Mus musculus: one gene and its partner. The protein of the gene in region 2 purifies or fractionates together with the protein of the main gene of each other region. This does not show direct contact. Links are inferred from orthologs where the notes say so. Each region holds a gene or a part of one and is shown on either strand. Other genes may lie near its edges.

What was found.
Region 1: the proteins of Psmg4 (region 2) and Psma5 purify together in Homo sapiens (co-immunoprecipitation; 3 studies listed by BioGRID and IntAct, with this or other methods). This does not show direct contact. The link is inferred for Mus musculus from reciprocal best matches to the Homo sapiens genes PSMG4 and PSMA5.

The regions. Positions count from the first base shown.
Region 1 is NC_000069.6:108,259,061-108,274,965, reverse strand, and holds part of Psma5 (proteasome subunit alpha type-5), read right to left. Parts: intron 13,281-15,905; coding exon 13,214-13,280; intron 9,901-13,213; coding exon 9,774-9,900; intron 8,534-9,773; coding exon 8,466-8,533; intron 7,174-8,465; coding exon 7,066-7,173; intron 6,934-7,065; coding exon 6,875-6,933; intron 6,139-6,874; coding exon 6,036-6,138; intron 2,676-6,035; coding exon 2,589-2,675; intron 1-2,588. UniProt on the Homo sapiens protein: Component of the 20S core proteasome complex involved in the proteolytic degradation of most intracellular proteins. This complex plays numerous essential roles within the cell by associating with different regulatory particles.
Region 2 is NC_000079.6:34,156,362-34,172,795, reverse strand, and holds the start of Psmg4 (proteasome assembly chaperone 4), read right to left. Parts: upstream 9,833-16,434; 5' UTR 9,721-9,832; coding exon 9,547-9,720; intron 6,736-9,546; coding exon 6,660-6,735; intron 1-6,659. UniProt on the Homo sapiens protein: Chaperone protein which promotes assembly of the 20S proteasome.

The DNA of each region.
Region 1 (15,905 bases), on a different chromosome or scaffold from region 2:
GTGTGCTACCACGTTCTTTTTTAGCTCTCTCACAGCTGACATTACGGGGCCAGCAGAATCAGAGATTTGAAGCTCTAAGTCTCAGGCCTCTTTTCCAAAGACACTCAGAGCTCAGAAGTCTGCAGTAAGAGCATGGCTGCAGTGGAAGAGGAAGGAGTCTGACTGTCTGACCGGGAGTTACTATGTTCACTGAGCCCAGACCAGGCAGACTGACACTCTTTTCAAAGCACTACACTGAAATAACAAAGAGCTATCCCTATAGCCTCAAGGCTTTCGCTGTGAAACCAAGAGCTAACATCTGAATTCTGTTGAGGTGCCAAGATGCTCTCATCCAGGACCAAGAACATCAGAAAGGCACTGATAGCTCTCCTAAGGGTCAAGATCATCGTGAGTTATTGAATTTCACATCTCAGAGACTAGCAAAAGGAAGAATTTTAAAATGTAAATTTTAAAATCACCAAGGATCCCCATAGCAGTGAAGAGACAACTAATACAACCAGGTGACCTTAAAAAATATGCTGAGTCAAGACACAAGGCACACATTATACAACCTCCATTATATGGAATCTAGAATGCAATTTCCATGCATTTTCCACCTAGGAACCATGTTAAATTAAAGCTCCTTTCTACTTCTGCTCAGAGATAAAGTGGTCCCTCCTCTTCCTTGCACTCCATTTCTAGTACCCACCTTTCCCCTTTTATGGCAGTCTATGACACCAACAACATCCCAAGACTCCCACGCCTGTTTTTAACTAATCAATTGCTCATACGGGATTAATTCTACCACTCAGCCCAACAAACATCCTGGTTGGTGCTGATTTGGTTTAGTTATTAACTTGTGACTACAGCATCAGTTATAATAGTCAGTGCCTTTTAAACTTTTTTTAAAATCAGAAATATACATATATATTATGTCTCTCGGGGTAATTGCTATTCTAGCTTGAGCTAGTATTTAAGTGTAGTCCAGCAATCATTTCCCTCATTCTTTTTTTTTTTTTAAGATTTACTCATTCATTCATTCATTCATTCATTCATATGTATGTGAGTACACTATTGCTCTCTTCAGACACCAGAAGGGGGCATCAGCTCCCATTTCAGATGGTTGTGAGCCACATTGTGGTTGCTGGGAATTGAACTCAGGACCTCTGGAGAAGCAAGCAGTCAGTGCTCCCTCATTCTTATCTCCCTTTTCCTAACTGAAATGCCCTGTACCTCAATATTCCCCACTCTCCTTAATTTCATAGTTACACTCACCCACTCAGCAAATGACCCAAAAATTTCTAGGCAAATACAGGACATTTTTTCCGCTTTATTTCAAAACCTACATGTGTACTCGCCATTGCTTCCTTTCCTATCTGTTAACACTGTAATAACAATATTCAGAAACCTACCCATGCCTTTCCAATTTTTTTTTAATTAGGCATTTTTTTCACTTACATTTCCAATGCTATCCCAAGTCTCCCAATACCCCCCTACCCACCCATTCCCACTTCTTGGCCCTGGCGTTCCCCTGTACTGAGGCATATAAAGTTTGCAAGACCAAGGGGCCTCTTTCCAATGATGGCCAATTAGGCCATCTTCTGCTACATATGCAGCTAGAGACACGAGCTCCAGGGGGTATTGGTTAGTGAATATTGTTCCACCTATAGGGTTGCAGACCCCTTTAGCTCCTTGGGTACTTTCTTTAGTTCCTCCATTGGGGGCCCTGTGAGCCTTCCTAATTTTTATTATTTGCCACATCCCCTATTCCACAACCAAAGAGAGAAAAGAAAAAAATCCTGTTTGATTTTACTAGGCTGGGGTGAGAACCCAGGGCCTTGTGCACTTTACTGTAGAGCCACACCCAGTCCTATGACCCTTGGCAATGCTATTGGTCTCTTTTCCTGGGGTAGCACTTTGGCCCCTCCTCCAGACATCAGCTCTTCAGGATGCTTCCTCATATCCTTCTCTAGGCCCATGTTCACACGGAAAGCTGTTCTTACTGATGAGTCCAGAAGTTCTACCCACACCCTTATTACCTATGTGTAGCATAGCACAGCTCTTAGCTAGGGACTGGATTTCCTATACTCTTTCTCTGCACCTGTCATACTTCCTAAAACAAAGCTGGCTACATGTATTAGCATCTCGAGAACAATTAATTTTTGTTGTTATTGTTTTTGAGACAGGGTTTCTCTGTAGCCCTGGCTGTCCCGGAACTCACTCTGTAGACCAGCCTGGCCTCGAACTCAGAAATTCGCCTGCCTCTGCCTCTCAAGTGCTGGGATTAAAGGCGTGCGCCACCACTGCCCGGCTTGTTTTACTTTTTGAAACACCTTTGTACTGTCTTCACCCCTTTACAATTTCCTATCATTAATCTCTTTATGTCTCTTTAGTGCTGTGTTTCTGCTGACATTAATCAGCCCTAAGAAAGAAGCACACCCAGTCCTTTCCTTCATTCTTAAATCCACTGTACTTGGCTCCCATCATCACCACTTCATTAGCACTGATTAGGATGCAAATGCTATCAATGACGAAAACACAGATCAGACCAACTGTTTTTCAGACAGTCGTCTCAGCAAGGGCGCGAGGCGGGCGGGCGGGAGCAGTACCTCGATGTTGGTTGCATTCAGCTTCTCCTCCATGACTTGCTTGAGGATGATGAGCGAGGACTTGATGGCCTCCTTCAGAGTCATAGACTTCAGAGAGAGAGAGGAGCTGTTAGTTGAACGTGATTCCTTCCTTTAACCCTCCCCGCATCTCTCTGCAGAAACAACTTAGCTGATATTAATAAACCTTACACCTTATTTGTATAATGTAGTACATTATATAATAATGTAAATATTCAAGGATATATACTTAGAAGAAAAATGTCTCACTAACGCTCATCTAGTAAATCATCTTTGAGAAAGAGGACAGGGCTGTGCGTCCCTAGTATATGCTTATCTCAATTCCATGATCTAGAGGATGATATAACCTGGTGAACAGCCTAGTAATATCCAAGTGACCTAAAGAGGGCAATCCAATGATTCAGAAAATCCACTTTCCATTTTATTTCCTGTCTTAGGGTTCCTATTGATGTGATAAACACCATGACCAACAGTACCTTTGGAAGAAAGGATTTATTTCATCTTAGAACTCTCAGGTCACACTCCATCACTGAGGGAAGTAGAGGAAGGAAAGGTAGCAGAGGCTATGGAGGAATGCTGCTTACTGGCTTGCTCTTCCTGGCTTGCTCAATTTGCTATCTTATACATCCCAGAACCACCTGCACAGAGGTGGCACCACCTGTAGTGAGCTAGACCCTCCCGTACTAATCACTAATCAAGAAAACATCCTAAGGATTTGCCCAAAAACTAATTTGATGAGGTATTCTCTCATTTCAAATTCCTCTTCCTATATGGCTCTCACTTGTGTACACATACACACACAGCACTAACTAACATTTAATTTTCTCTACATATGAAAGCTATATTACAAGCAAACCGCATTTTATTGTGCTTTGTTGTGCTGCACTTAGCAAATACTGCAGATCAGTGGCAACCTCATATTGAACAAGCTTACTGGTAACATTTTCTAAAAGCAATGGATTATTCTGTGTCTGTTATTTCTGATTAATTCTCACAACAGTGTGATCTGTTTGGTAACCATTTTTCCTCTCTTTAGTGTCTGTATTTTCAGGTATGTGCAGATGTGTGTGTGTGGGGGTGTTTGTTGGGGGGGGGGGGTTGCACATGCACCCAAGTGGAAGTCAGAGGACAACTTGGATGTTACTCCACAGATACCTTTTTGAAATCAATCTCTCTCTGGTCTGGAATTCACCAAGCAGGCTAGGCTGCCTACCAAGTCAGCTCCAGTGAGCCACCCGTCTCTGCCTCCCCAGCACTGGGATTAAAAGCCTGTACTACAGACGCCTGGCTGCCCCCTCCATTTTCCAAGAATTTTTTTTTAACGATGTCCATCTTTGTGTGGGTATACACAGGAGTGCAAGTGCCCTCAGAGACCAAAAAAGGGTGTCAGATTCCCTAGAGCTGCAGTTACAGGTGACATGGGTTCTACGAACCAAACTCGAGTCCTCTGTGAGAGCAGTTTGTTCTTACCCACTGAGGCACAGTTCCCATGGCTTTATTAATGTGGTTTCTGGGGATCATGCTTACAAGAGAAGCACTATACTAAGACAGATCCTGGAAACCTAGCAAGTCACTTGTGGTGCTATTGCCGTAATTGCTCGAGTCCCACAAGCCACATTACAGGAATCAACCTTGACAAATGTAGCAGATATCCTCACTGCTGTACTGCCCATCTTTTGGAGGGATTTTTCTACATTCCCAAGACAACAATACTGAACGAGGTCAATCTAAGGATGTTACTACAGTAAAAGGTAGAGTCCCATGCTTCCCGCTTTAAACCAAAACCTGAAAATGAGAACGCTTAGTCCAGTTTATCAAGATTTGAGTTAGGCTGAAAGCTAGGCCTCTTGTGCCAAATTAGTTAAGCAAGCTGTGAAAAGGGAAAGAAAAGGCCCCTTTTTAAAAAGCAATTTTAACAATGTACAGCCTCATGTATTTGTGCAAGTGATCTTCCAGGAGCTACAGTCCCAGCCCTCCCTTTCCCTTTTATATTAACATAAGTTTAGCTGATAAAGCACAGAAAAGCCTGAGCATCAATCAGTTTGGAATGAAAATTCTGTGCATAGACACTATCACACACTCTCATTCATATACTACACCTAATTTTTCATGAAAACAACAGTTCGTTGATGCCACAGACGCTCCTGTATCCCCGTAAGAAGCTGTCACAGCTACCTAACCCTTAAAAGCCACCAGCACCATAGCAAAAGAATTACAATTTGCTTATCATTTTTAGTGGAAAAAAATTGCAATTAAATTGTGAAAAGCTTTCAGACATAATGCTACTTACTACACACTGTGTTGATTTAAATGAGCAATATTCCCACAGGTTCTGATATCTGAGTGCTTGGTGCCCAGTTGGTGGTACTATTTGGGGAGGCTTAGGAGGGATAACCTTGCTGGAGCAAATATTCCCTGGGGGCAGGCTTTGAGAGCTTAAAGCGTCACCCTACTTCCAGTTTGCTTTCTCTTCTTTGTGCTTGCATTGAAACTGTGAGCTCTCCTGCTCCTGGAGCCTTGCATGCCACTTGCTGCCATGTATTCCCACAATGATGGACTCTTATCCCTCTGGAGTCATAAGCCCAAATAAATCCTTCCTTCTATAAACTTCCTTCTATAAACTTGGTCATTGTGTTCTATCATCGTGATAGAAAAGTAACTAATAGTTACAGTATAATGAAAACCTAATTTTTGTATAGACTTATTTATATGCCAAACCTAAAATACCTCTTAAATACGCCTATGTTAATATGAGCAGAGATTCCCTATGTGACCCACCTGGGTGTGGCAGCCTTCAACCATAGAAATGAACTACAAAAACCCAAATCTTCCTATTCTAGAAAGGAAGTACCAACTACTCACTTGCCTCAATATCCACACTAGGCATTATTAACTGCTAAGTGAAGCTGTCAGGATAGAAGACAAACATTGTGCTATAGTCATAGCATGGCATATTATTCAGCAAAAAAAACAAAACAAAACTAACCTAACAGTACAATAAGAAAGCTAGGCTTGGTGGCATATTCCTTTAATCCCAGAGCTAGGAAAGCAGAAGTAAGAGGATCTCAATGAGTTTGAGACCAGCCAAGTCTACTTAGCAAGTACAGTCCATCTAGAACTACAAAGAGAGACCCTGTCTCAGGAACTAAAAAAGATCAGTGGTAAAGCACATTAGTGTAGAAAGCCAGCATAAACTCATAACAACCAAAGTGGCAAAGCTGTATTAATTTCACTTATGAAAAGGACAAGAACAGACAAATCTATACTGGTAAATAGTTGCAAATGAAGAGAAAGATGAATAAGCACTTTGGCAGATAAATTGTGTTCTGTGTCTTGTTTTAGGTTGTGATTCCAGGTCTATAGTTTTACTCACACAGACGTTAAACACTGACTTTAAAGATTGCAAGAACAGTGAGAATGATGGATTACCTTATGGTAAACTTCTTGCAAGGAGCTCTGGGCACCCTCAGAAGCAGAGCCAATTGCTCGAGCATCACACTGTACAAAGGTCCCAGATGGGTCCATGTGAAACCTGAAAAGACATCAATGTTTAAAAGGGCGTCTTAAGCCACAAATACCTCACTAAAAGAAGTATAAGCATTTTACCCTGGAGCCAGGACATGCCACTGCAATACTGAGGCACAGCCCCTAAAGACTTTTTATTTTGAAAAAACAGTTCTTTTAAAGGGTCCTGACTAATGATATACACATCTGTGTACATATGGAAATGTTACAATAAAACCTATTTTATGTGCTAAACAAAAAATTCAAATTTAACATTAAAATTTAAACATTAAACTAATTTTTAAAAAAAGAAAACATTAATAAAATCATGAACTTCCTCAGGATCTTGGGTGAGAGAATGACAGAGAGTATACATCACCATGGCACCTATGTCCACCTAAGACATCAACAGGAGAATGACCACGTATGCCTATGTCAATCTTATGTGCTACACCGATGTGAGAGTGAGCACCACATGGTAACAGCAATGAGGCAATGTGTAAGCTTTAGAGAATTAGTGCTGGCTAGACAGAGGCTTCTTCATGGGTCCCAACACTGGTATAAACAGCACAGAAACACTGGCTCAGAAGTCCTACTTTTCATCAATTTTTGCTTCTTTCCTTTTATTTTTTTATCTCATTTATTCATTCACTGGTTGGTTGGTTTTTTGAACAAAGTTTCTCCGTGTAGCCCTGGCTGGAATCGAACTCACGTAGATCCACCTGCCCTGCCATCCCAAAGCAGGGGTGGGAAATGGTACTTACAGTTGGGGTCCTTTCTCATCAACTCCTCCAAACAACAATGCTACTCCAAAGGGACGAGACTAGAACCAAAAAGAATTAATTTAGAAGAGGCAACAAATAATGAGAGTCCTCAGAAATGTGTGCAGAGGACAAATGTTCTCAGTCCCCCAGAACAGCAAGCAGGCTCAGCACAAGCATCAGAACTAACTCACCATAGCACCTGGATCTGCATCTTCTTCTCCAAACTGCAGAGCCAGATTGGACACAGCCTGGGTCACACTCTCAACTGTCATTGTCTCATTATAGGTGAACCAGTGGTTCTATAAAAAGGGTAAAGAATGATACTGCTTCTTGGTAAAAAGGAAACTCACACCAACCATCACCTCGTGCTCACATGCCTCTTCTGTTTGGGACAGGGTCTCTCTGAATGTCAGACCCAGAACTTACAATCCTCCCACCTCAGCCTCCCAAGAGCTAAGACAGACCACCTGCCCAGATCAACATGTTTTTGTTTTTGTTTTTTGAGACAAGGTTTCTCTGTGTAGCCCTGGCTGTCCTGGAGCTCACTCTGTAGACCAGGCTGGCCTCCAACTCAGAAATCCACCTGCCTCTGCCTCCCCTGTGCTAGGATTAAAGGCGTGCGCCACCGCTGCCCGGTTTAACATGCTTTTCTTGACTAACACTAGCCACTGAGTGCTTGGGTTATATCAGAAGAGGAACAGCTCTGACTGCCAGATACGATGGCATATGCCCATGATCCCCACCCTCAGGAGGATGGTGACTTTTAAGGCTAGTCTGAGCTGGTCACAGAAAGACCATGTCTTAAGAGGGAGCAGGGAAAAATGAAGAGGAGGAGGACAGAGGGAGAGGGTACACACTGATAAGCTCTGGAAATAAGGATGACCTAGAGGCTGCTACCCATGCAAAACAGTGACACCTAAAAACAAGGCAGCAAGTTTAGTTCTTTCACAAAGTCAGTGTAAATATCCAAGTGTCAATTTTCTTTAGACACTCACCTTACCTTGTTAAGAGTTTATGTTAAATTATTACTAAGTATAAAGGACAAACTTGGAAATATGTGCAAAAACTACCTTGTGATTAGTTGTTTCCCTTATTAGCCTACTACAGTCAAAGCACAAATAGCCAAGGATTTGCTTATGGGTTTTTGTTGTTTTATTAAAAAAACAAAAAAAAACCCCAGCATTCCTAACCTGAATTTGTCACCTGGCACAAATCATTGCTTACCAGATGAGAACAACTTTATAAGCCTGGCAGAAAAGGCAGCTGTCAGGATACCCTCTTTCTATGACCACATCCCTCTATGATGGCCCCCAGGTAGTTAATCAGGGGATACAGTGTATGCTTTACACAAGGTGAGCCTAGAAGAAGTAAGAGGCTGTAGGCCCTATTAACCAGAGCTTGCTTTCTGTTGCAATGGCTGGAGAGCTAAGTCCTAAGTCCCGAGGTGTTTTAGCAGGGGAATGGACCCAAAACTCTCAAGAGCCATGTCTAATACGGGCACAGACATTGCAATGTAGCCTTGGTAGCTCTGTCATCACTAAACAAGGACTGCATGCATCACAATGAAAAGCAGAGAAGATGTTGATTTTACCTGTGTCTCCACTCTGGCTTTATCAATTAAAGTTTTAGCATCAGCAATTAGCCCACTCATGGCACAACCTGCAATATAAAAGCAACAGTGACCAATCAGCCAAACACTCTACAGTTTTTCATGCCCATCCACTAAGTAAATACTCTCCTTTCTCTACTCCTGGTCTTCCCTGCTGTGGACACAGATGGTCACAGATGGATTCATCATGATGATAGTAAACCCTCTAAAACTATGAGCAAGCCAGAAAACAAGTTCCTTCTCTTAAGATGTCAGATATCTGGTCACAGTGTAGTAAAAGTAACTAAAACTCATGACCACTGGGCCCAGACAAAACTCTTTCCTTCATCACATCCTCACTGAGTGCACACTGTGCACCACCATAAATAAGACCATCAGTTCCCGGAAGACACGTACCATGCCTCCCTCTATATAGCCACGGAGTCTAACAAGATTTTGTTAATCTTTCTCTGTTGAATGAAGTGATACTAACCTACCTCCAAAAGACAGTTGACCTGAGATACGGCAGACAACATTCCAACTCTAAGATCTGTTTCTCCAGCTATGAAAGGGAATACTAAGCTCCCAGTTACCAAAGCATTTAGCTCTTATGGCCTTTGAGTAATTAATTACTTTGCAAATGTTGTAGTAACTGGGTTGAGTAGGTAAGATAAGCAAATTTGGATAGCCAATTACAATATAAAGCTGTAACTGTAAAAGTATGTATCTTTTAATGTTACATTGTCAAGAGCCAACAAGAAAATTATACTAAAGACAAGAGAAAAGACAGAGAGGGCAGGAAGAGATCAGTTAAGTCTCTCACACAGAACAGGCTGGTCTAACATGACTCCTTTAACACCCTGAACCTTATACACTTTGAAATCTTTGAGAATTACTTTTTTTCTCAGTGGACATTACATTTTTCCACACTATTTCCGCTCCAGCTAGCTTACTACTAGGGTAACATGCATGAATTAAAACACAGCCATCACAGGAACTAGCCAAAGATCCAACCTTAATGTATTAAAGTATAATATTTGCCAAAGATCGGGTTATATTTCAGTGGTAGAGTGCTTGCCTAGCTTGTGAGAGTATCCTGGGTTCAATTCCAAGCACTACAAAAAGTAAAATAGATGAAAAGGCTTTCTGGTAGTAGGTTAAGCCTCAGTTTGGTCCTGAGGCTGCCTTCCACTGCCTAGATTTACGTACTGGCCTCCTGCCTTGAACAGAAGAGCTGTGTGGCCTCCCTTGGATCACAGAAGATTAAGTAACCCACACCAGATCCTATAGCAGCTCCCACTCATCACTCACCTATATGAGCATCGATCTCTACAATCTTCTCAATGCTGCTAGGCTCCATTAGTGGGGAGGTAATTCTCTTCTCCACAGCTAGACATACACCCTCTGAGGTCTGGATGCCAATGGCTGTAGAACCAAGCTAAAATGAAACAAAAACAAAAACCATGCTGTGGTTATCACACAGCTTAAAGAAATCCTTGCACAGCTTCATAAGCAGAAACTCAGTTATCCATACCTAGGATGCAGGAAGAACAGAAAGCATCTAACTGTTCCCTTGACTAGCAAAAGCATTTACAGAATCCTGTACATGGGCTTAACCTCAAATGAGCAAGGATTGGTCCCCAGTCTATAAGGTCAGAACACATCTGAAAATTTCTATGTTAGCACTAGCACTGGGAGGAAGAATTCTAAAGTTCTAATCACAGGTTTTTGTTTGTCTTCTTCTGGAACGGTGGCTTTTACCTCTGCCATCTATGAGTCTGTCCAATAGTTATGCTCCCCAAACCCATGTCACCCAGGGAAAGAAAAGAGGAAAGGGATAGGGACAGAATAGACGCCATCCTCAGTAACCACAGGGAAATACTAACTTAACCCAAAGTCACTAGCAGTCCAGTGTAGTAAAGTCACCGTTTCACCTGTGTCACCTATACACCTCAGCACTATGAACTCAACTATCTGCAGAATGAAGACAGTCCTGATAGCTCCATAGAGAAAATGGTGTCTACCATATAATAAACAAGTGTTCCTGTTACATGCCCCCACCGCCCAATCTATTCCTTGTGAAATGGTCTCATAGAATTCTAGCCAGGCTGAAATTTTCTGTGTAGACTAGGTTTGTTTCTGCCTCCTAAGGCATGAGCCACACTTAGCATCTTTGTCTCATATTTAGTCTTTTGCTCTAAATGTATCTTTTATTGGTACACTGAGGGGAAAACTGTGATTTTTACTGTATTTCTCTTAAGAACTGATGCTCTCTGTATTGCCTTTAATTAAAAACCAAATGAGCTTCTCATAATCTAATGATGCTATCTTTCACCTCCAACTTTATTATTAACTGACTAACCCCTTAGGTACAACACAACTGTTCAAAGTATTACATTACTAGCAGCAACACTACCACCTTTCCTGAAGCTGTCTCCTGTGGAATGTACTCTCCTTCTGCCTCTCCAAATGTATCCACTCGTCATAAAGTCGCCTAAGACCATGCTTTATTCCCTGGATTCCCACTACATCTACTTATTTCTATATAACAATGACCCGCCAACTGTGAACACTGATTAAACCTGATATTGTTAAAAACAAACAAACAAACACAGAATTCCATAAATCTTTTTAAACGTTTTAATTCACTTTTATTTATGTGTTACTTAGTGTGTACGTTCCCTTATGTGAAATCCTGCAGAGGCCAGAAGATGTCAGATCCTGAGGCCTAGAGTTACAGGGTTGTGACCCACCCAACCCGAGTTCTGGGAACTCAACTCTGGAAGAGTTCTCCAGCCCATCCAGGAATCCACACAAAAAGCATGGTTTAGACTGAATGTGCTCAAAATAGTTCTGATTTTTTAAAAATTTATTTCATGTATATGAACACTCTTATCTGCATGCACACCTGCATGTCAGAAGAGGGCATCAGAACCCATTACAGATGGTTGTGAGCCACCATGTGGTTGCTGGGTATTAAACTCAGAACCTCTGGAAGAGCAGTCACTGCTCTTAACTGCTGAGCCATCTCTCCAGCCCCAGTCAAAATACATGACATGAAGCACCTTAAAGGAGGAAGGCCTGGTGGCAGGAAAGGGCAGCTGCTAGTCACACTGCGCACACCATCAGGAAGGACAGACAGCGAGTGCTAGTGCGCAGCAAGCTTTCTCTTTTTATCAAGCACAAGAGCAAAGCCCAGCTGCTGTGGCCCTCAGTGAGGGTAGGCCTCCCCACCACAGTTAACTGGAGGCTTTCCTCCTCGGTGATTCTAGGCCTGTTAACGAGTACATCATGTCTCATGCATATATATTACTCTCAAATGCTCACAGTATGGCCCAACCATGAAAAGTTCTACTAGCACAACTACTGATAAATTTGACAAAAATTGCTATGTGTAAGCTATTTGAGAGGTTGCATTGACTATGTCCAATCCTCTAGGCAACTGTGGGTGGCCAGAGAACAGATATGCAGAAATTTATTCCATTATGAAAAGTGTGTAGATGATGCCTATCAGATGATGCCCATGTTCTCAATAGAAGGTGATAAAGGAACTGAGAGTGGGGCTGGAGAGATGGCTCAGCAAGCCAGAGAACCTGCTGTTCTTGCAGAGGACCTGGGCTCAGTTGGCAGCATCCAAATGCTGGGTGGAACAGAACCATACATAATCAGCACTCCAAGGGTCCCAGTGTCCTCTTCTTGCCTTTGAAGGCACACTACACATGTAAATATAGGTGAGGAAAAACACCCACACTCATAAAAATAAAAATTAATCTTAAAAAAAAAAGAAGCTTTAAGTGCTGCCTCAGAGAAGTTGAAATTAGATGGTATAGCCTAAAGGATTGTTTTTATTACATAATTTATAGAGACATCTTAATCTTTGATTCTAAAACTACATATGTGAATATCCTAAAAATTTAAAAAAAAAAGAAAGAAAAAAGAATGAGAGAGGAAGAAAGAAAGAAAGAAAGAAAGAAAGATAGATAGATAGAGGAAATCTAAAACTATTGCCCAGAAAATTAAACCTAAAACTTCCGTGTTCTCTAACTGCCATATTTTTTAAAATTTGGGCATAGATTGGACCCAGGGCTTCTCTTCTGCTAGGCAAACACTCTACTACTGGGCTACATCCTCAGCTACCCACTTGAAATTGTTTACTGAGGATCCTGAATCCTCAACTGAACAAGACAGAAACAATTCACATCTACGTTTAATTTTTTCTACTAAAGCAACTCTTAAGTGGGGACTCTCTTTCCCAATACCAACATTCAACAAAGCCTGCAGACATTTTGCTTGTATGGAAGGGTAAACGCTGTCATCTGATGGGCAGTGGCCCACACCAGAAGGTCCACAGTCCAATCATGTACAAAATCTGCTTTCATAACACAAAAACACTGTAAGCGAACAAGAGCATCAACCAACCAGTCCCCCCAGAGCTCCCAGGGACTAAGCCATCAACAAAGGAGTACACATGGCTCTAGCTGCATATGTAGCAGAGGATGGCATTGTTGTGCATCAATGGGAGGAGAGGCCCTTGGTTCTATGAAGGCTGGATTGATGCCCTGTGTAGGGGAATTGAGGTGTCAGTCTACTTAATTTTGGATTCTAATTTTCCAAAAATTACAATTGTTATAAAAACAGTAGTTGGTTAAAGGAATGTGAGACTATTTTCTAAAAGAATGGCTAAAACACTCCTTTTAGCACTATGTAAGGCTGTTATGAAATTTCCAAAAATATACTACTGGCTACTATACCTTGATAGCCTCAATGGCATATTCCACTTGAAATAATCTTCCTTCAGGAGAAAAAGTATTCACACCCCTGTAATTAAAAAAGAATAAAAACTATATTAGAAACTGTAAGAAGTATACAGCAAACCTTTCAGTCTTTTGGTGTACCAACTGTTTCCAAGGCCCACAAATCTGCCCAATTCCCAAACCTGACCAAAGTTTTACCAAACTGAACAAATGAAAGCAGGTGACTTGAATCAATCGGGATGAATTCTGAGCCAGCCAACCAATTCCTTTGATAAATGTGTGCCCCAAAGCTATCAGGCCATTTCCAAGAAAATGGACTTTTTCCCCCCTTCCCATTATGTACATTTGATGTTGCTATTTTTTGTAGCAGTTAATGTACATTTTTCTACCTATTCGTATGAGATAGTATCACTGCAGACTGAGATCCACAGGTGCCAAAGTCTATACAGCTATGCCAGACTACTTTACTAACTACATTAATGTGCCCCTCGTTTGCACTAGGGTTGCTGATCCATGCAGAGAAGAGACACAAGCATACTGTTAGCTATAGCTTTCAGCACACAATTACAATTTTAAAAGTTTGTGAGTAAATTAATACAAATAACTGTAATTCTTAGTTCATGAATTCTAAACTTCACAACAGTATACATAAACTACTGTTTCCAAATTCTGTTTTGTTGTTTTGTTTTTTGAGTTTTTTTGAGACAGGGTTTCTCTGTATGGAACTCACTCTGTAGACCAGGCTGGCCTCGAACTCAGAAATCTGCCTGCCTCTGCCTCCCGAGTGCTGGGATTAAAGGCGTGTGCCACCATGCCCAGCTTCCAAATCTGTTTAACCAAAACTTTCTTCAAAAGAATTGTGACATTGCATACACTAGCAAGCGTTTGTTGCAAGGATGGTGATATAGCTGTCTCTAGTGAGACTAGGCCGGGGCCTGGCAAACACAGAAGTGGATGCTCACAGTCAGCTATTGGATGGATCACAGGGCCCCCAATGGAGGAGCTAGAGAAAGCACCCAAGGAGCTAAAGGGATCTGCAACCCTATAGGTGGAACAACAATATGAACTAACCAGTACCCCGGAGCTCTTGTCTCTAGCTGCATATGCATCAAAAGATGGCCTAGTCGGCCATCACTGGAAAGAGAGGCCCATTGGACATGCAAACTTTATATGCCCCAGTACAGGGGAACGCCAGGGCCAAAAAATGGGAGTGGGTGGGTAGGGGAATGGGGGGGCGGTGTATGGGGGACTTTTGGGATAGCATTGGAAATGTAATTGAAGAAAATACGTAATTAAAAAAAAAAAAAGAATTGTGAGTGTGTGTGTGTGAGAGAGAGAGAGAGAGAGAGAGAGAGAGAGAGAGAAAATCAAATAAATTGCTCAAAGTTACTCCTCAGCATAAAAGCAGAATCAACTCAAGAAATCCTACTTAACCAAGGTTTCAACTACTCTACTTCACTGGGAATTATTCTCACCACCCAGTCCTCATTCTCTCCTCGGCCAACAGATCACAGAGCACAGCTGAAAGCTCTCGGAAAGAAAAACTGTGTCAGAAAACTCTGACATTGAGCTGGGGACCAGCTCAGTTGTAGAGCTCTGGCTCTTGCCCACTATGTATGAGCCCCAGGTTACACACACACACACACACACACACACACACACTCACATACACACACACACACACACACACACACACTCACACTCACACTCACACACACACACACCCCGACACTGAGAACCAGACTCACCACTAGCTTTCAGGAAAAATAAGAAATGGCCCTGCCTTTGTGATAATGTAAGTAAACTGCAGAGAACTGAAAGAACCCTATAAACGGATGTGACTAAATGTTTCTGCACCCCGACTTGGAAGCATTATCCTAGTAAGCTCTGTCTTCATCCTCCCAAATTTCCTGCTTACTTGGGTTGTTGCATATAAATTAAAACCGATCATTCCAAATTTCTACTTCCAGTTTGACTTTTACTCAGTTAATCTAAATTTGAAACAAGTCCCCTTGAATAGCCCAATTACAACCAACATCCAACATTTTCCAATCTGAAATATAACCCTTTAAATCTAATCATTCTGTAAAACCAACTCCTCTTTACCATGCCCATTATTTTCAAACAGCCCCAGCTTCTCAGTTCCTCACAATAGAATGCTCTGAATGATGACTCACTCTCCCTACCGTCCCCTTTGTCCTACCATATGCTAAGTCATGCTAACTCCTATCAGCGCCTCCTCCATGGTAACATCACTTCCATCCCTATGTCCTTGTTACCCTTTACCTAACTATTGTAAAAGCCTCCTGACTGGTGCCAACTCGTTCTTCCAATCAATTAATCTTTATAAAAACAACTGTGATGAGGCAACTCTTTAAAGAAAATATGAGAGACTGACACAGCTCATGAGTGTAACTCCAGAACTCACAACACTCAGGCAGAAAAGATCGTCCCAAACTCCAGGCCTCGTGGCTCTAGGTCACCCTGGGCTATAGATGAAACCTTGTCTTTTAAAACAAAAACCAAAAAAGACCCCCCCCCCCAAAAAAGAGAGAGAGAGAGAGAGAGAGCTGGGTCAGCAGTTAGGAGCACTAGGGGCTCTTCCAGAGGAAGCTGCTGCTCTGACTCCCAGCACTGACATCTTGGCTAAAACCCACCCGTCACTCCAGCTCTAGGCGATCCAACACCC
Region 2 (16,434 bases):
GGCTTCAAGGTCCGCCCTATGCGGAGTCCCCACCCTGCGTAGTGCGTCAGCAATGCGCAGAGAGGCAGTGCGCAGAGAGGCAGTGCGCAGACTCATTCATTCCCAGAGAGGAACAAAGGAAAATACAACAGGCATTTCCGGTCTTTGAAGGAGCCGAGGGTGGGCGTGTCCACGCTCCGGTAGAATACTTACAAATTAAGGAAATTGCCGAGTCGGTTCGTAAATACGGAACCAATGCTAATTTTACCTTGGTGCAGTTAGACAGGCTCGCTGGCATGGCACTAACTCCTGCTGACTGGCAAACGGTTGTAAAAGCCGCTCTCCCTAGTATGGGCAAATACATGGAATGGAAAGCGCTTTGGCACGAAGCTGCACAAGCGCAGGCCCGAGCAAACGCAGCTGCTTTGACTCCAGAGCAGAGAGATTGGACTTTTGACTTGTTAACGGGTCAGGGAGCTTATTCTGCTGATCAGACAAACTACCATTGGGGAGCTTATGCCCAGATTTCTTCCACGGCTATTAGGGCCTGGAAGGCGCTCTCTCGAGCAGGTGAAACCACTGGTCAGTTAACAAAGATAATCCAGGGACCTCAGGAATCCTTCTCAGATTTTGTGGCCAGAATGACAGAGGCAGCAGAGCGTATTTTTGGAGAGTCAGAGCAAGCTGCGCCTCTAATAGAACAGCTAATCTATGAGCAAGCCACAAAGGAGTGCCGAGCGGCCATAGCCCCAAGAAAGAACAAAGGCTTACAAGACTGGCTCAGGGTCTGTCGAGAGCTTGGGGGACCTCTCAGCAATGCAGGTTTAGCGGCTGCCATCCTTCAATCCCAAAACCGCTCCATGAGCAGAAATGATCAGAGGACATGTTTTAACTGCGGAAAGCCTGGGCATTTTAAGAAAGATTGCAGAGCTCCAGATAAACAGGGAGGGACTCTCACTCTTTGCTCTAAGTGTGGCAAGGGTTATCATAGAGCTGACCAGTGTCGCTCTGTGAGGGATATAAAGGGCAGAGTCCTTCCCCCACCTGATAGTCAATCAACTGATGTGCCAAAAAACGGGTCATCGGGCCCTCGGTCCCAGGGCCCTCAAAGATATGGGAACCGGTTTGTCAGGACCCAGGAAGCAGTCAGAGAGGCGACCCAGGAAGACCCACAAGGGTGGACCTGCGTGCCGCCTCCGACTTCCTACTAATGCCTCAAATGAGTATTCAGCCGGTGCCGGTGGAGCCTATACCATCCTTGCCCCCGGGAACCATGGGCCTTATTCTCGGCCGGGGTTCACTCACCTTGCAGGGCTTAGTAGTCCACCCTGGAGTTATGGATTGTCAACATTCCCCTGAAATACAGGTCCTGTGCTCAAGCCCTAAGGGCGTTTTTTCTATTAGTAAAGGAGATAGGATAGCTCAGCTGCTGCTCCTCCCTGATAATACCAGGGAGAAATCTGCAGGACCTGAGATAAAGAAAATGGGCTCCTCAGGAAATGATTCTGCCTATTTGGTTGTATCTTTAAATGATAGACCTAAGCTCCGCCTTAAGATCAACGGAAAAGAGTTTGAAGGCATCCTTGATACCGGAGCAGATAAAAGTATAATTTCTACACATTGGTGGCCCAAAGCATGGCCCACCACAGAGTCATCTCATTCATTACAGGGCCTAGGATATCAATCATGTCCCACTATAAGCTCCGTTGCCTTGACGTGGGAATCCTCTGAAGGACAGCAAGGGAAATTCATACCTTATGTGCTCCCACTCCCGGTTAACCTCTGGGGAAGGGATATTATGCAGCATCTGGGCCTTATTTTGTCCAATGAAAACGCCCCATCGGGAGGGTATTCAACTAAAGCAAAAAATATCATGGCAAAGATGGGTTATAAAGAAGGAAAAGGGTTAGGACATCAAGAACAGGGAAGGATAGAGCCCATCTCACCTAATGGAAACCAAGACAGACAGGGTCTGGGTTTTCCTTAGCGGCCATTGGGGCAGCACGACCCATACCATGGAAAACAGGGGACCCAGTGTGGGTTCCTCAATGGCACCTATCCTCTGAAAAACTAGAAGCTGTGATTCAACTGGTAGAGGAACAATTAAAATTAGGCCATATTGAACCCTCTACCTCACCTTGGAATACTCCAATTTTTGTAATTAAGAAAAAGTCAGGAAAGTGGAGACTGCTCCATGACCTCAGAGCCATTAATGAGCAAATGAACTTATTTGGCCCAGTACAGAGGGGTCTCCCTGTACTTTCCGCCTTACCACGTGGCTGGAATTTAATTATTATAGATATTAAAGATTGTTTCTTTTCTATACCTTTGTGTCCAAGAGATAGGCCCAGATTTGCCTTTACCATCCCCTCTATTAATCACATGGAACCTGATAAGAGGTATCAATGGAAGGTCTTACCACAGGGAATGTCCAATAGTCCTACTATGTGTCAACTTTATGTGCAAGAAGCTCTTTTGCCAGTGAGGGAACAATTCCCCTCTTTAATTTTGCTCCTTTACATGGATGACATCCTCCTGTGCCATAAAGACCTTACCATGCTACAAAAGGCATATCCTTTTCTACTTAAAACTTTAAGTCAGTGGGGTTTACAGATAGCCACAGAAAAGGTCCAAATTTCTGATACAGGACAATTCTTGGGCTCTGTGGTGTCCCCAGATAAGATTGTGCCCCAAAAGGTAGAGATAAGAAGAGATCACCTCCATACCTTAAATGATTTTCAAAAGCTGTTGGGAGATATTAATTGGCTCAGACCTTTTTTAAAGATTCCTTCCGCTGAGTTAAGGCCTTTGTTTAGTATTTTAGAAGGAGATCCTCATATCTCCTCCCCTAGGACTCTTACTCTAGCTGCTAACCAGGCCTTACAAAAAGTGGAAAAAGCCTTACAGAATGCACAATTACAACGTATTGAGGATTCGCAGCCTTTCAGTTTGTGTGTCTTTAAGACAGCACAATTGCCAACTGCAGTTTTGTGGCAGAATGGGCCATTGTTGTGGATCCATCCAAACGTATCCCCAGCTAAAATAATAGATTGGTATCCTGATGCAATTGCACAGCTTGCCCTTAAAGGTCTAAAAGCAGCAATCACCCACTTTGGGCAAAGTCCATATCTTTTAATTGTACCTTATACCGCTGCACAGGTTCAAACCTTGGCAGCCGCATCTAATGATTGGGCAGTTTTAGTTACCTCCTTTTCAGGAAAAATAGATAACCATTATCCAAAGCATCCAATCTTACAGTTTGCCCAAAATCAATCTGTTGTGTTTCCACAAATAACAGTAAGAAACCCACTTAAAAATGGGATTGTGGTATATACTGATGGATCAAAAACTGGCATAGGTGCCTATGTGGCTAATGGTAAAGTGGTATCCAAACAGTATAATGAAAATTCACCTCAAGTGGTAGAATGTTTAGTGGTCTTAGAAGTTTTAAAAACCTTTTTAAAACCCCTTAATATTGTGTCAGATTCCTATTATGTGGTTAATGCAGTAAATCTTTTAGAAGTGGCTGGAGTGATTAAGCCTTCCAGTAGAGTTGCCAATATTTTTCAGCAGATACAATTAGTTTTGTTATCTAGAAGATCTCCTGTTTATATTACTCATGTTAGAGCCCATTCAGGCCTACCTGGCCCCATGGCTCTGGGAAATGATTTGGCAGATAAGGCCACTAAAGTGGTGGCTGCTGCCCTATCATCCCCGGTAGAGGCTGCAAGAAATTTTCATAACAATTTTCATGTGACGGCTGAAACATTACGCAGTCGTTTCTCCTTGACAAGAAAAGAAGCCCGTGACATTGTTACTCAATGTCAAAGCTGCTGTGAGTTCTTGCCAGTTCCTCATGTGGGAATTAATCCACGCGGTATTCGACCTCTACAGGTCTGGCAAATGGATGTTACACATGTTTCTTCCTTTGGAAAACTTCAATATCTCCATGTGTCCATTGACACATGTTCTGGCATCATGTTTGCTTCTCCGTTAACCGGAGAAAAAGCCTCACATGTGATTCAACATTGTCTTGAGGCATGGAGTGCTTGGGGGAAACCCAGACTCCTTAAGACTGATAATGGACCAGCTTATACGTCTCAAAAATTCCAACAGTTCTGCCGTCAGATGGACGTGACCCACCTGACTGGACTTCCGTACAACCCTCAAGGACAGGGTATTGTTGAGCGTGCGCATCGCACCCTCAAAGCCTATCTTATAAAACAGAAGAGGGGAACTTTTGAGGAGACTGTACCCCGAGCACCAAGAGTGTCGGTGTCTTTGGCACTCTTTACACTCAATTTTTTAAATATTGATGCTCATGGCCATACTGCGGCTGAACGTCATTGTTCAGAGCCAGATAGGCCCAATGAGATGGTTAAATGGAAAAATGTCCTTGATAATAAATGGTATGGCCCGGATCCTATTTTGATAAGATCCAGGGGAGCTATCTGTGTTTTCCCACAGAATGAAGACAACCCATTTTGGGTACCAGAAAGACTCACCCGAAAAATCCAGACTGACCAAGGGAATACTAATGTCCCTCGTCTTGGTGATGTCCAGGGCGTCAATAATAAAAAGAGAGCAGCGTTGGGGGATAATGTCGACATTCCCACTCCCAATGACGGTGATGTATAATGCTCAAGTATTCTCCTGCTTTTTTACCACTAACTAGGAACTGGGTTTGGCCTTAATTCAGACAGCCTTGGCTCTGTCTGGACAGGTCCAGATGACTGACACCATTAACACTTTGTCAGCCTCAGTGACTACAGTCATAGATGAACAGGCCTCAGCTAATGTCAAGATACAGAGAGGTCTCATGCTGGTTAATCAACTCATAGATCTTGTCCAGATACAACTAGATGTATTATGACAAATAACTCAGCTGGGATGTGAACAAAAGTTTCCGGGATTGTGTGTTATTTCCATTCAGTATGTTAAATTTACTAGGACAGCTAATTTGTCAAAAAGTCTTTTTCAGTATATGTTACAGAATTGGATGGCTGAATTTGAACAGATCCTTCGGGAATTGAGACTTCAGGTCAACTCCACGCGCTTGGACCTGTCCCTGACCAAAGGATTACCCAATTGGATCTCCTCAGCATTTTCTTTCTTTAAAAAATGGGTGGGATTAATATTATTTGGAGATACACTTTGCTGTGGATTAGTGTTGCTTCTTTGATTGGTCTGTAAGCTTAAGGCCCAAATTAGGAGAGACAAGGTGGTTATTGCCCAGGCGCTTGCAGGACTAGAACATGGAGCTCCCCCTGATATATGGTTATCTATGCTTAGGCAATAGGTCGCTGGCCACTCAGCTCTTATATCCCATGAGGCTAGACTCATTGCACGGGATAGAGTGAGTGTGCTTCAGCAGCCCGAGAGAGTTGCAAGGCTAAGCACTGCAATGGAAAGGCTCTGCGGCATATATGAGCCTATTCTAGGGAGACATGTCATCTTTCAAGAAGGTTCAGTGTCCTAGTTCCCTTCCCCCAGGCAAAACGACACGGGAGCAGGTCAGGGTTGCTCTGGGTAAAAGCCTGTAAGCCTAAGAGCTAATCCTGTACATGGCTCCTTTACCTACACACTGGGGATTTGACCTCTATCTCCACTCTCATTAATATGGGTGGCCTATTTGCTCTTATTAAAAGAAAAAGGGGGAGATGTTGGGAGCCGCCCCCACATTCGCCGTTACAAGATGGCGCTGACATCCTGTGTTCTAAGTGGTAAACAAATAATCTGCGCATGTGCCAAGGGTATCTTATGACTACTTGTGCTCTGCCTTCCCCGTGACGTCAACTCGGCCGATGGGCTGCAGCCAATCAGGGAGTGACACGTCCGAGGCGAAGGAGAATGCTCCTTAAGAGGGACGGGGTTTCGTTTTCTCTTCTCTTGCTTCTTGCTCTCTTGCTTCTTGCTCTCTTGCTTCTTGCTCTCTTGCTTCCTGCACCCTGGCTCCTGAAGATGTAAGAAATAAAGCTTTGCCGCAGAAGATTCTGGTCTGTGGTGTTCTTCCTGGCCGGTCGTGAGAACGCGTCTAATAACAATCCTGTCCAAGACTGAGCCATTGTTGAAGGCATCCTGTCCATACCAGCCATGGGAAACAGGGACTGGGGATCACAGAACATAAGTTATTCTGACCTAAATCACCTGAGTATTTGTAATTTTTTTAAAAAGCACATGTGGAAGGAGGGAGCCTTTACCCTCACACTCTTCACTAAACAGCTACTCTGCGTTCACTTCACCAAACTCTTCGCCTGTCATACTGAGACGGAGAAACAGTCCTCCCTGCAGTAGTGACATCTACCAGGCTCTACAGAAATTGCCAAGAGGCCCAGGGAGCCACCCTGAGTAGTTGCCGCTGAGCAGGATTCATTTTCTCCCACAAGGAGATGCTACACTCACTGAAAGAAAATAAATCAGCTCATGGATTGAAGGGGAGAACCAAGAAGGATGGTGAAAGTTCTGGAAAGTTCCCTGGCATCGTGATAACACTGAAACAGTTGAGACAGGTAAGTGTAGATGTGTCCCGTAAAAGACCATGGGACAGAAGTCAGCTTCCAGTGCCAACGAGGCAGTCGTCTGTCATATGCAGATCCTTTACTTCTGAGGGCATTTACCCTAGGACATGAAACCGTGGGTCACATCCGGCTAGTGTCAAAGCATTAGCCTTGGGCACATACCTAAGCGCTGAGCAAGGCCGGTGGAAGTTGTATCAGAAGTGTCTCCAAAAAGGGAGGTGCACACAGGGATGGGGTCCTAAAGAAGAAGAAAAAGAACAAAGAACATACTGTGGATTCTCCTACTGTCAGCTGGGCAGCTTTGGGTTCCACACAAGGCAAGGAAAGGACGTACAACTGTCCCTAGTGGCTGGCACTTGTCTACAGCCAAGCTAGGTGACCTAGACACAGACTAGACAGTAGAACTAGGGCAGACAGAAGCCACCTGTAACGGGACCCATGGAGCTGCTAATGGTTTCTAAGACTGATTTCACATACAGGGGTTGTTTCTGTGTTACAAACTCCAAAGTAGCTGGGCGTGGTGGCACACGCCTTTAATCCCAGCACTCGGGAGGCAGAGGCAGGTAGATTTCTGAGTTCGAGGCCACCCTGGTCTACAGAGTGAGTTCCAGGACAGCCAGGTCTATACAGAGAAACCCTGTCTCGAAAAACCAAAAAAAAAAAAAACACCCAAACTCCAAAGTACGCTGACGGGCTTTCCGACCAGGAGGGAAGCCAACAAACTCAGTAAGCCCACAACAAGAAATGAGATCAGGGTCTCTAGATGTCTGGTTCAGTTCCCCAGCTAAGAAGCAAGTTGCCTGCCTTCGGCAGGAAAGCCTACAAGAGCATGGTTTGTGAGGACTTCTGAAGGTTAGTAAATGACTTAGAACTTTGAAAAGACACCAGCTATCAGTATCCAAAGAGCCAAGTTAAAGCCTTGTATGAAATGGTTGACCGATCTTGTTTTGGCTAAGAAACAATGAAGTATAAACACAGTAGTGTGCTTGCCTAGCATGCACGAGGTCCTGGGTTCAATATTTGGCACCAAAGGAAAAAAAAAAGCAGCTGTTTGACTAGGAAAAGGCCCTCTCACTAACCTGCTCAGGTCTGGTGCACTTGCCTCACTCACTGTCCAGGTTGAGACAACTTAACAGATTGAGTATCTCCCAGACAGTGTGGCAGGGCAGAGACTATATAATTCATCTCTTAAGAACTTAAGGTCACTTTCAGAATTTCTTCAGGTATATACCGAACAAGATTAAAAAGAAAAAAAGAACAGTATAAAATTACTCAATTTCTATCTTTTTGTTTGATACAAAAATATAATCATAAACCTGTTCTTTATAGACTCTTAATTCAACATTTAGCTGAAATGTACAGTGTTTACACTGAAGCCTACTGAAGTAAATCTACCTTACCAGCTGGCTTTTTCGTACCAAAAATAAAATTTTAAGCCCCATCTTGTTACTGTTCTTAATATAATTAATTACTGTCAAATAATTGGTCTCCATAGACACATGCTCAAGGACACATTTACTAAGGTGGGAGCACCTCCTCCAACTCCCTGCCATAGGTCAGGACCATTTTCCATCCCAGGCCAGCCACCCTCAGGCTGGCTTGGCTGGCATCATCCCTCCTGGGTACTGAAACCCCTGCCGCTATCCAGACAGGCCAGTTAGAGAAGCAACTTCATCCTGTGATTTGTGTTCTCCAAAGTTTGTTGTGGCCAGAACAAATTTGCGGGCAAAGGGAGGAGCACACACACATGATCTTTAACACTGTCCTCCATGGACCAGCACAACTTTTCTATGAATGCTCACAAAGAAAATAATTCAGGTGTCAGCAGCCACAAGCCCGCTAGTAGGACTAGAGCTGCCATACTCTCCACCTGCATAGATAGATGTGGCCATGTTTTAGTAGAACCTGATTACGAAGTAAGACCTTACTGCCTGACTGGCTACAACTTAAAGGACGCCCTGAAGAGGTCTCAACAACTCACCAAGTGACTTAATGAGCAGCCTGAGAGGTACTAGACACTAACCTCACCTTATATCACTAAAACTTCAGAGGCCAGTACTACTGGAATAACTGGGCAGGGAAGAACACTAAGAAGCAACAGGCCCTGTGGGGATCACTAGAAACTCAGTATCATACTCTGAATTCATCTCAAAGGGTCTTTAGCAGAGGAATGGCAATCCCTGATCTATCTTATTGTTTTATCTTTTTGCTTATATGTAGTGTGTATGGTATGCATGCATACGTGCATGCATGTTCCTAAATTTGGGTGCATATATATGCATGTGCCCCCCACACAAAGTGAGCTCATCCGAGGGTAAGGTAAGTCCTTCATCCAATATGAGTGGTGTGTTCAAGGAAGAGATGAGGACAGGCAGTTTAACTCAGTGGTGGAGCATTTGCATAGCACATGCAAAGCTTTGGATTCAACCCCCTATCCTGGAGATGGAGAGGCTCTGGGCACGTGACCTGTGAGAGAAAGAAAGGCCAAAGACAGCCAGAGAGCACTCAGAATAGGTAGAGTTGCCCATACAGAGATGAAAGGTCACAGAAGGGGAAGGTTTGAGTTTGTTGGTCAAGTACCTATCAGACACTCAAATCTAAGCTCCAAGTTCAATACAAAAGTTGTCTAAACCCAATGTAAAATGTAAAACGTAGCACGCGCACATGTCAGGAAGCTGGTGCAAGGAGAGCCGATGTTCTGGTGAGCTCAGAGCTCAGGGGCTGGGATGAGTTCCCTTTAAGGTGGTCCACGTGTGGGTTGACTCCGGGGTTCCCGCAAGTCAAGAAGCAGCCCTAGGAGACTCCAGCCTGAGGTGTTCAGAATAGGACCCCAGGGCACACTGAAGCTCCTCAAGAATGTCTCTCAGGGCCGCATGCGACCAGCCTCACTCCCACTGGTCTCTCTCCTCCCAAACCCTTCTTAGCGGTCCCCACCCTCTACCCCAGATCCTTCACCTTGAGGTCCACCGGTCCCCCCAACCCCACCCCCAACTACGGCTAGGCCCCGCCCCCAGATCGCCATCAAGTTCCTGGCCCCGCCCACACTCACGTAGCGGCTGCACATGGCCACTGCGAGGTTGCGTAGATGCGGCGTTGCTCCCACCCACAGGAAGAGCGAATCCGTCAGCCGCATGACATGAAAGTGGACCAGCTGCTCCCACAGCCTTGCACTGAAGTTGTGAAGCGACACGTCCGCGTCCGCAGCGGCCCGAGACTCCTCCATCCCGCCAGCCACCGGGCCACAGCACCGAGACCGGGCAGGCGCGGGCTCCCAGACCAGAGAGAGCGAGCTCCGAAAAGCGGAACGCTCTTTCACTTTCAGATGCGCGCGCCGAGGTGGGGTGGGGCGAGCATGAGTGGGCGGGGCCTAGAACAGGGCCTCCGCCTGCTCTAGCCTGGTACCTTCAGCCTCGCCTAGGAGTCTGCCAGCGATCTCTAGGAACCCACTGAACTACCTCTGTCCTTTTTCCTTCTTCCCAGGAGCGCATGTTAGTGGACTGAAACCACTCTCAGCATCTTCCTTTGCCCAGACACGGACACAATTTGAGCGCTTTAGCAGCCACCACCTCCCAGGCCCACCTCTGCAAGTCTCTAACCTAGCTAACATAATTTAACAGCAATGATCCTGGGAGAAAGCTGTAAAAAAGAACTGCATAGACCATGGCGGGAGGACAGGGTCTTCAGAGACAGGCAGGCACACCCTGAGCTGCTATCATGTAAAGCTCGGGTCTTGATCTAACCCTTTAACTTCTCTGTCTCTCTTTCCTCGAGTACAAAATGGAAATATGAGTAGGGAGCCTTTAAGATTTGAGAAAGAATGTGAGAGAGGGAAGCCCTGTGGAGGGTGGTGATATATCTGCCCTGGGACCCTTTAATTTTAATTACTGGGACACTAAAGTGTTTGGAATGAGTCCCTTGGTGGGTTGAGAGGCGTAAAAACTTGCCCGGTTTGTCAAGCTTTTTACAGTAGACTTGGAGACTCTAGGAACTGCAAAGAGTCTGCTTAAATTTCCTGTAACTCTTAGTGGATCAAATTGAGATTTAAAATGTGATGTGATTTGAGTATGGTTTGGGACCCTCCGAGGATCCACTGTGAGATGTCTTAGTCCCCAAGGGAGATAGATTATGGAATATCATGGGAGATCAGGGGATAGGCCCTGTCTGGAAGACCCAAGTCACTGAGGAAAAGGAAATATTCCTGTGATAGAGCTCCTGAGGTATTACTATAAAAGCAACAAGCCCAGCCTTTGTGGTTAATATTGTTGGGGGTTGGGGGGAGGGGGTTACTACACCCCCTTGTTACCTTTAAATATCTATTGGGGGTTTCTACCCCACTTCAGACCATATCATTACCAGATAAAAGATACAGAAACATTTAGATTTATAATAAGCTTAAAAGCACTAGAGCTAGGCAGATATCAGCCCTCTATGCTATATTACCTATTTTCTTATGGTGATCCCAGAGATGTCACTGGCCATGTTCAGCCTGGGCCATTCCTACTCCATCAGGCTGGTCCTCTTGACCATGTGCCCATGATCTACCAACACCATGGTGACCTCCTTCCTTCTTCCTCTCTCTTCCACCTCATCCTTATCTCAGACCCCAAGCCCAGAATCCATTTTTCCACCCACTCTGTTCTGCCTAGCCTTGTCTGTAGGCATCTTTATTGGCCAATCAGGAATAAGTTGGGGGGCAAGCTTTACATCATTTGGTACAGGAGGATCTCATCAGGAGGCATCCAGATTTGGGGGGACCAGCACTTAGCATTCAAATACAGAGCAGCACCCGTGCAACCCCTACACCCTGCTACACCCATCCTCCTCCTGCCTACTCTTCTCAGGCTGTGACCTCTTCCTGTATTTGTGCTCCTGTGACATTTGTGCTATGAAGTCCTCACCATAGCTCGGCCAGCACAGATACTGTATTCTTGAACCTCCTAGCACTGTAAACTAGAATCTTTCCTCTTCATAAAGTTAATTGCCTCCGACATTTCATTTTACTAACACAAAACTAGCAATATAGTAGAGTGTTCTTTATACTCTGTTTCCATTTGCTAATTATCAGTGAATCTGGTCATATTTTGACAGCTTTATTAAAGTATAATTATTAACATTAACATGACTATTTGCCCATATTTCAGATGTTTAAATTAGGGGGTGGAGAAGCTTGAAGGAAGGGAGGGGGATAGATGTGATCAAGTTCTATACATGTGCCAGGCAGTGGTGGCGCACACCTTTAATCCCAGCACTTGGGAGACAGAGGCAGGTATATTTCTGAGTTCGAGGCCAGCCTGTTCTACAGAGTGAGTTCCAGGACAGCCAGGGCTGCACAGAGAAACCCTGTCTCAGAAAAAAAAAAAAAAGAAAGAAAGAAAGAAAGAAAGAAAGAAAGAAAGAAGGAAGGAAGGAAGGAAGGAAGGAAGGAAGGAAAGAAAGAAAGAAAGAAAAAGAAAGAAAGAAAGAAAGAAAGAAAAGAAAAAAGATCTATACATGTATGAAAAAAATTTTTTTACTAAAATAAAATATATGTACTGAAGTTTTGACATCTGTATAACCCACGCAACCACTATCATAGTCAAAATGACAAGTCTAGTATCCCTCTCAAATCCCTGCATAATCACCCATCCCCTGGTCTATGTTGTTGCTATAGGTAACTGAGCATTTTCAAGAGTTTTATATAAATAGAATCATACCACACATGTGACTGTTATCTCTTTCATACATTAGAATATGACCCACCCAAGTTGTACGGATCAGCACTTCACTCCGTTTATTACCGAGCTGTGTTTTATTGTGTGCATACAACCATTTGTTTATTCATTCAAAGGTTGATGTTCATGTGGGTTGTTTCAGTCATTTTTCTAAATTTTATAGTGGAAGAGTCCATGATTCACTAAAGAATGACACCCCAGACTCAAATAGTATGTAATGCAAAGAATGTTTTATTCTGCAGAAGTCCAGCAATATAGACAACCAAGTGAGGTCAAAAGCCTGATTAGGGGATTCTATGGGTAGGTGACCTTTATCTTGCTCTATCTCTAGGGACATTCCATTACCAGGGTGTGAGGGCTGGAAACTGTTGTGGGGAGTTCTGGAAACTGTTGGTAGAGGAAGTCTGGAAATTGCTGCTGACCCATTGCCCTTGCCTCCGGCCAGGTGGTAGGGCAGCTTCTGAGGCCTGGACTTGCCTGGACTTGCCCAGTTCTTGGAAACAGAGAATTAGGCCTCATCTCCTGAACTGCCAATTTGAAGCCTGTCATGGAGTCAACCTAGCCTTCTCAATAGTAAAACTGCTATAAACATATGTATACAACCAAGCCCTGTGTGCTTCTGCTTCTCACATATAACACCTACCAGTAGAATGGCTGTTTCCTCCCATTGTATATTTGCATCTTTTAAGAATATGCTAAGTTATTTCCCCACATGTTTGTTTGTTTCTTTTCTTTTATAGGAGGAGTGGGGGGGGGTCGAGACAGGGTTTCTCTGGATAGCCCAGCCCAAGCTTTCCTGGAACTCACTCTGTAGACCAGGCTGGCCTCGAACTTAGAAACACACCTGCCTCTGCCTCTGCCTCTGCCTCTGCCTCTGCCTCTGCCTCTGCCTCTGCCTCTGCCTCTGCCTCTGCCTCTGCCTCTGCCTCTGCCTCTGCCTCTGCCTCTGCCTCTGCCTCTCTCCCCACATGTGTCTACATTCCCATTGGCAGTGCCTGAGAGCTTTGGGTCCATCACATCCTCACCAGACAGCAATGGTATAGTGCAGCCATTCTTTTCCAAGTAGCCATTCTATAGACATGTACTGGAACAACACTGCTATTTTAATTTGTATTTTCTTATTAGCTAAGGGACCTCAGTTCATATCGTACCATATACAAAAGGGAATCAAAATGGTTCATAAACCTCAACATAAAACCTAAAACTAAGAAACACAGAGAAAGGCAAAGGAGGGAACCTGGGATCTGACAGAGATTTCACAAGAAGAACATGATTCACAACAAACTGGTCAGTTGGACTGCATCAAAATCAAATGTTTCTGCTCTTAAAAATCAGTAAGAAAGTGAAAAGACAGGCCACAGTCTAAAAGAAAAATATTTATAGAGTAGATGTCTTATATAGAATTTACAGTCAGGATATATAAATAATTCCCAAAACATAATAATAAAAAACTAACATTGAATTTTAAAATGGGTGAGTCTAGAGAAATAGCTCAGTGATTAAGAGGACTGGTTGATCTTTCAAAGGACAGGAATTCAATTCCCAGCAACCACATGGTAGCTTATAACTGCCTAACTTCAATTCCAACAACCTTTTTTGAGTTCTATTGGCACCAGGCATATACATGGTATACAAACATACATGTAGGCAAAACACATACACACATAAAATAAATGGCTTTTATTTAAAAATAAACAAATGCAAAAATAAACAAATCCAAACATTTAAACCTGTAATCCCAGTATTCTGGCAGCAAGAGGATCATGAATTTGAGGCTAGCCTGGGCTACATGGAAATTTTCAAGTTAGCACAGGCTATATAGTGAGATCCCATCTGAAAAAAAAACCAAAAATCTTTTTTAAAAAAACTCATGCCTAAACCAGGTATGGTGGCGCTTGTGCCTTTAATCACAAAACAGAAAAAGGTGGGTGGATCTCTATGAACTTCCAGGGTAACCAAAGCTACATAGTTACCTAGTAGGACTTTGTCTCAAAAAAAAAGGGGGGGGGGGATGAAAAGGAAGAGAAAAAGAAGAAGTAAAGAGTTGACTAAATGTGTTACCAAAGAAGATACATGATGACAAGCCTTTGCTCACTCCAAAACATTGTTATAGCACTCTAGATATTTCCAAGGAGTTACATCTCAGTAAACCCATTAGGGTGGCTTCAATGAGAATGGCCCTCATAGGGGCATATGTTTGAATACTTGGTCTCCAGTTGGTGGAACTGTTTGGGAAGGATTGGGAGGTATGGCCTTGTTGGGTGTATGTTTCACTGGAGGTAGACTTTGAGGTTTCTTGGTGTATGATCAGCCTTTGCTTGCAGGCCAAGATTTGAGCTCTCAGCTCTAGCCACCTGCTAAACTCTATTCCACCATCAATGGATGATAACCCTCTGAAACTATAATCCCCAAATAAACTCTTCTATAGGTTGCCTTGTATCTTATCACAGCAACAGAAAAGGAACTATCATGTCCATCATAGGTAGAAAATGCTTGTGCAACTCCTAACCTCAGCATGCCAGTTTAGAGCCATGGCCTACCATGGAGTGTCAGCATGACCCCTTCATGGTCAACTGGGATCTGCCTGACCTCACCAGAAAAGAAGGAACTGCTTTTTGCTATCTCAGCAAAATTCCAGATATAAAATTCCAAATACAGTTTCTCTGAATACATATGCCTGTCATACCATCATAGAGTTAAGAATCAAATCACTGAGTTAGTGATTGTAGTGCAGTGTAATCATGATAGTAAATGAGCCAACCCAGCAACCATTCAACGAACAGGAACAGTGCCACCCACAGGCAAAGGATTCTAGCACATTCCTGGAAGATGGGAAGTAGACATGGAATCTCCTCTAATGAAACAGCAGGTGAAGAATCCACAAAGAATGGTGCAGGGGCAGAAGAAGGAGTACAGAAAGAAAGGATACAGTCGTAGTGCATTGGATGCATGCATGGAAATATCATAATGAAACTCCGTTGTACAAATATAATGTGCGTCAGTAAAAATAATCCCCAAATCTGGAGGGAGCAGCCAGGAAGAATGGCCCAGTGGATAAAGTGTTTGCTTTGTAAGCATGAAAACCTGATTTCAGATTCCCAGCGCCCCCATAAATGCCGAGGATGCCCACATGTAATCCCAGTCTTCCAGAGACAGGAGTCCTCCAGGGCAAACAGTCTACCTAGAGGTAGAGTTTTTGATGAGCTCTGGGTTCAGCAGGAGACCTTGGCTCAGTGAATAAAGTGGCTCATGTGCCTGATATGACATGGGACAAAGATATGTCAGCATAAAGGCCATTTTGGCCTGATGCGATCATCTCCAACCAATGAGAATGATCCTTTATTGGGCGCCCGTGCCTGGAACTCAGTAATTGGATGGCAATCAAGCCCCCTTGTGCCATAAAAGTATAAACAGTAATGATTATCTCAGCCCTTCCCGCAAAGGACCACTGGCCACTCAGGCAAAAGTGCACCAGGGAAATAGGAAGGCCTACAAGTGTCAAGCATCAGAGTTAGAATGAGACCTGGCAAGCTAAAATATCACCATAGTTGTCCTGCTTTGTGGGGCATATGGGAACCAAGCAGCAGTGGCGTCCTGCCAAGAGTCCATTCTGTCTGTAGATCCACTGCAAGTCACTCCCCTGCTCCCTAAATGTGTAACTGAGACAGATACACTGGGAAGCTGGCACACACCAAGTGGAGAAAGCCAAATGGAAAGCTCTAAAGTTACTATCACTCAGCCAAAGTGAACAAGTGAAAAAATGTTGCGTGTAGTTTTAAAAACAAGCTACCGCCTCTGCTCGGGAGCTGCCCTGCTCTGGCCCCTCCCGGCTCCCCTTTGTTCTGGAATAGGCCCCCACTAGCACTGAGCCAGCTTCTCTTTCCCATCTGCCTTTGCTCCTGGAGGGGTCATATTACCACCCCATTCCTGAGACCCACGGATTAAAAACACACACTCAGCTTGTCACTTAAGAGCTTGCCTTCCATAGCACAATAGCTGGGTGCCGATACCTCCTGCCTGAAAAGGCATGGCCTTATCAGTTATTATTTCTGTTTCTCCTCCTGCCCTAAATTTAGTGGCTTGTATCAAATAGCCCCCACCCCCACTCCCCATGGTGCTGGAGAGGTAACTGAGAGTTCTACATTCAGAGATCAGCAGGCAGCAGGAAGAGGAGACACACTCCACAACCATGGTTACATCTATTCCAGCAAGGCCACACCTATCCC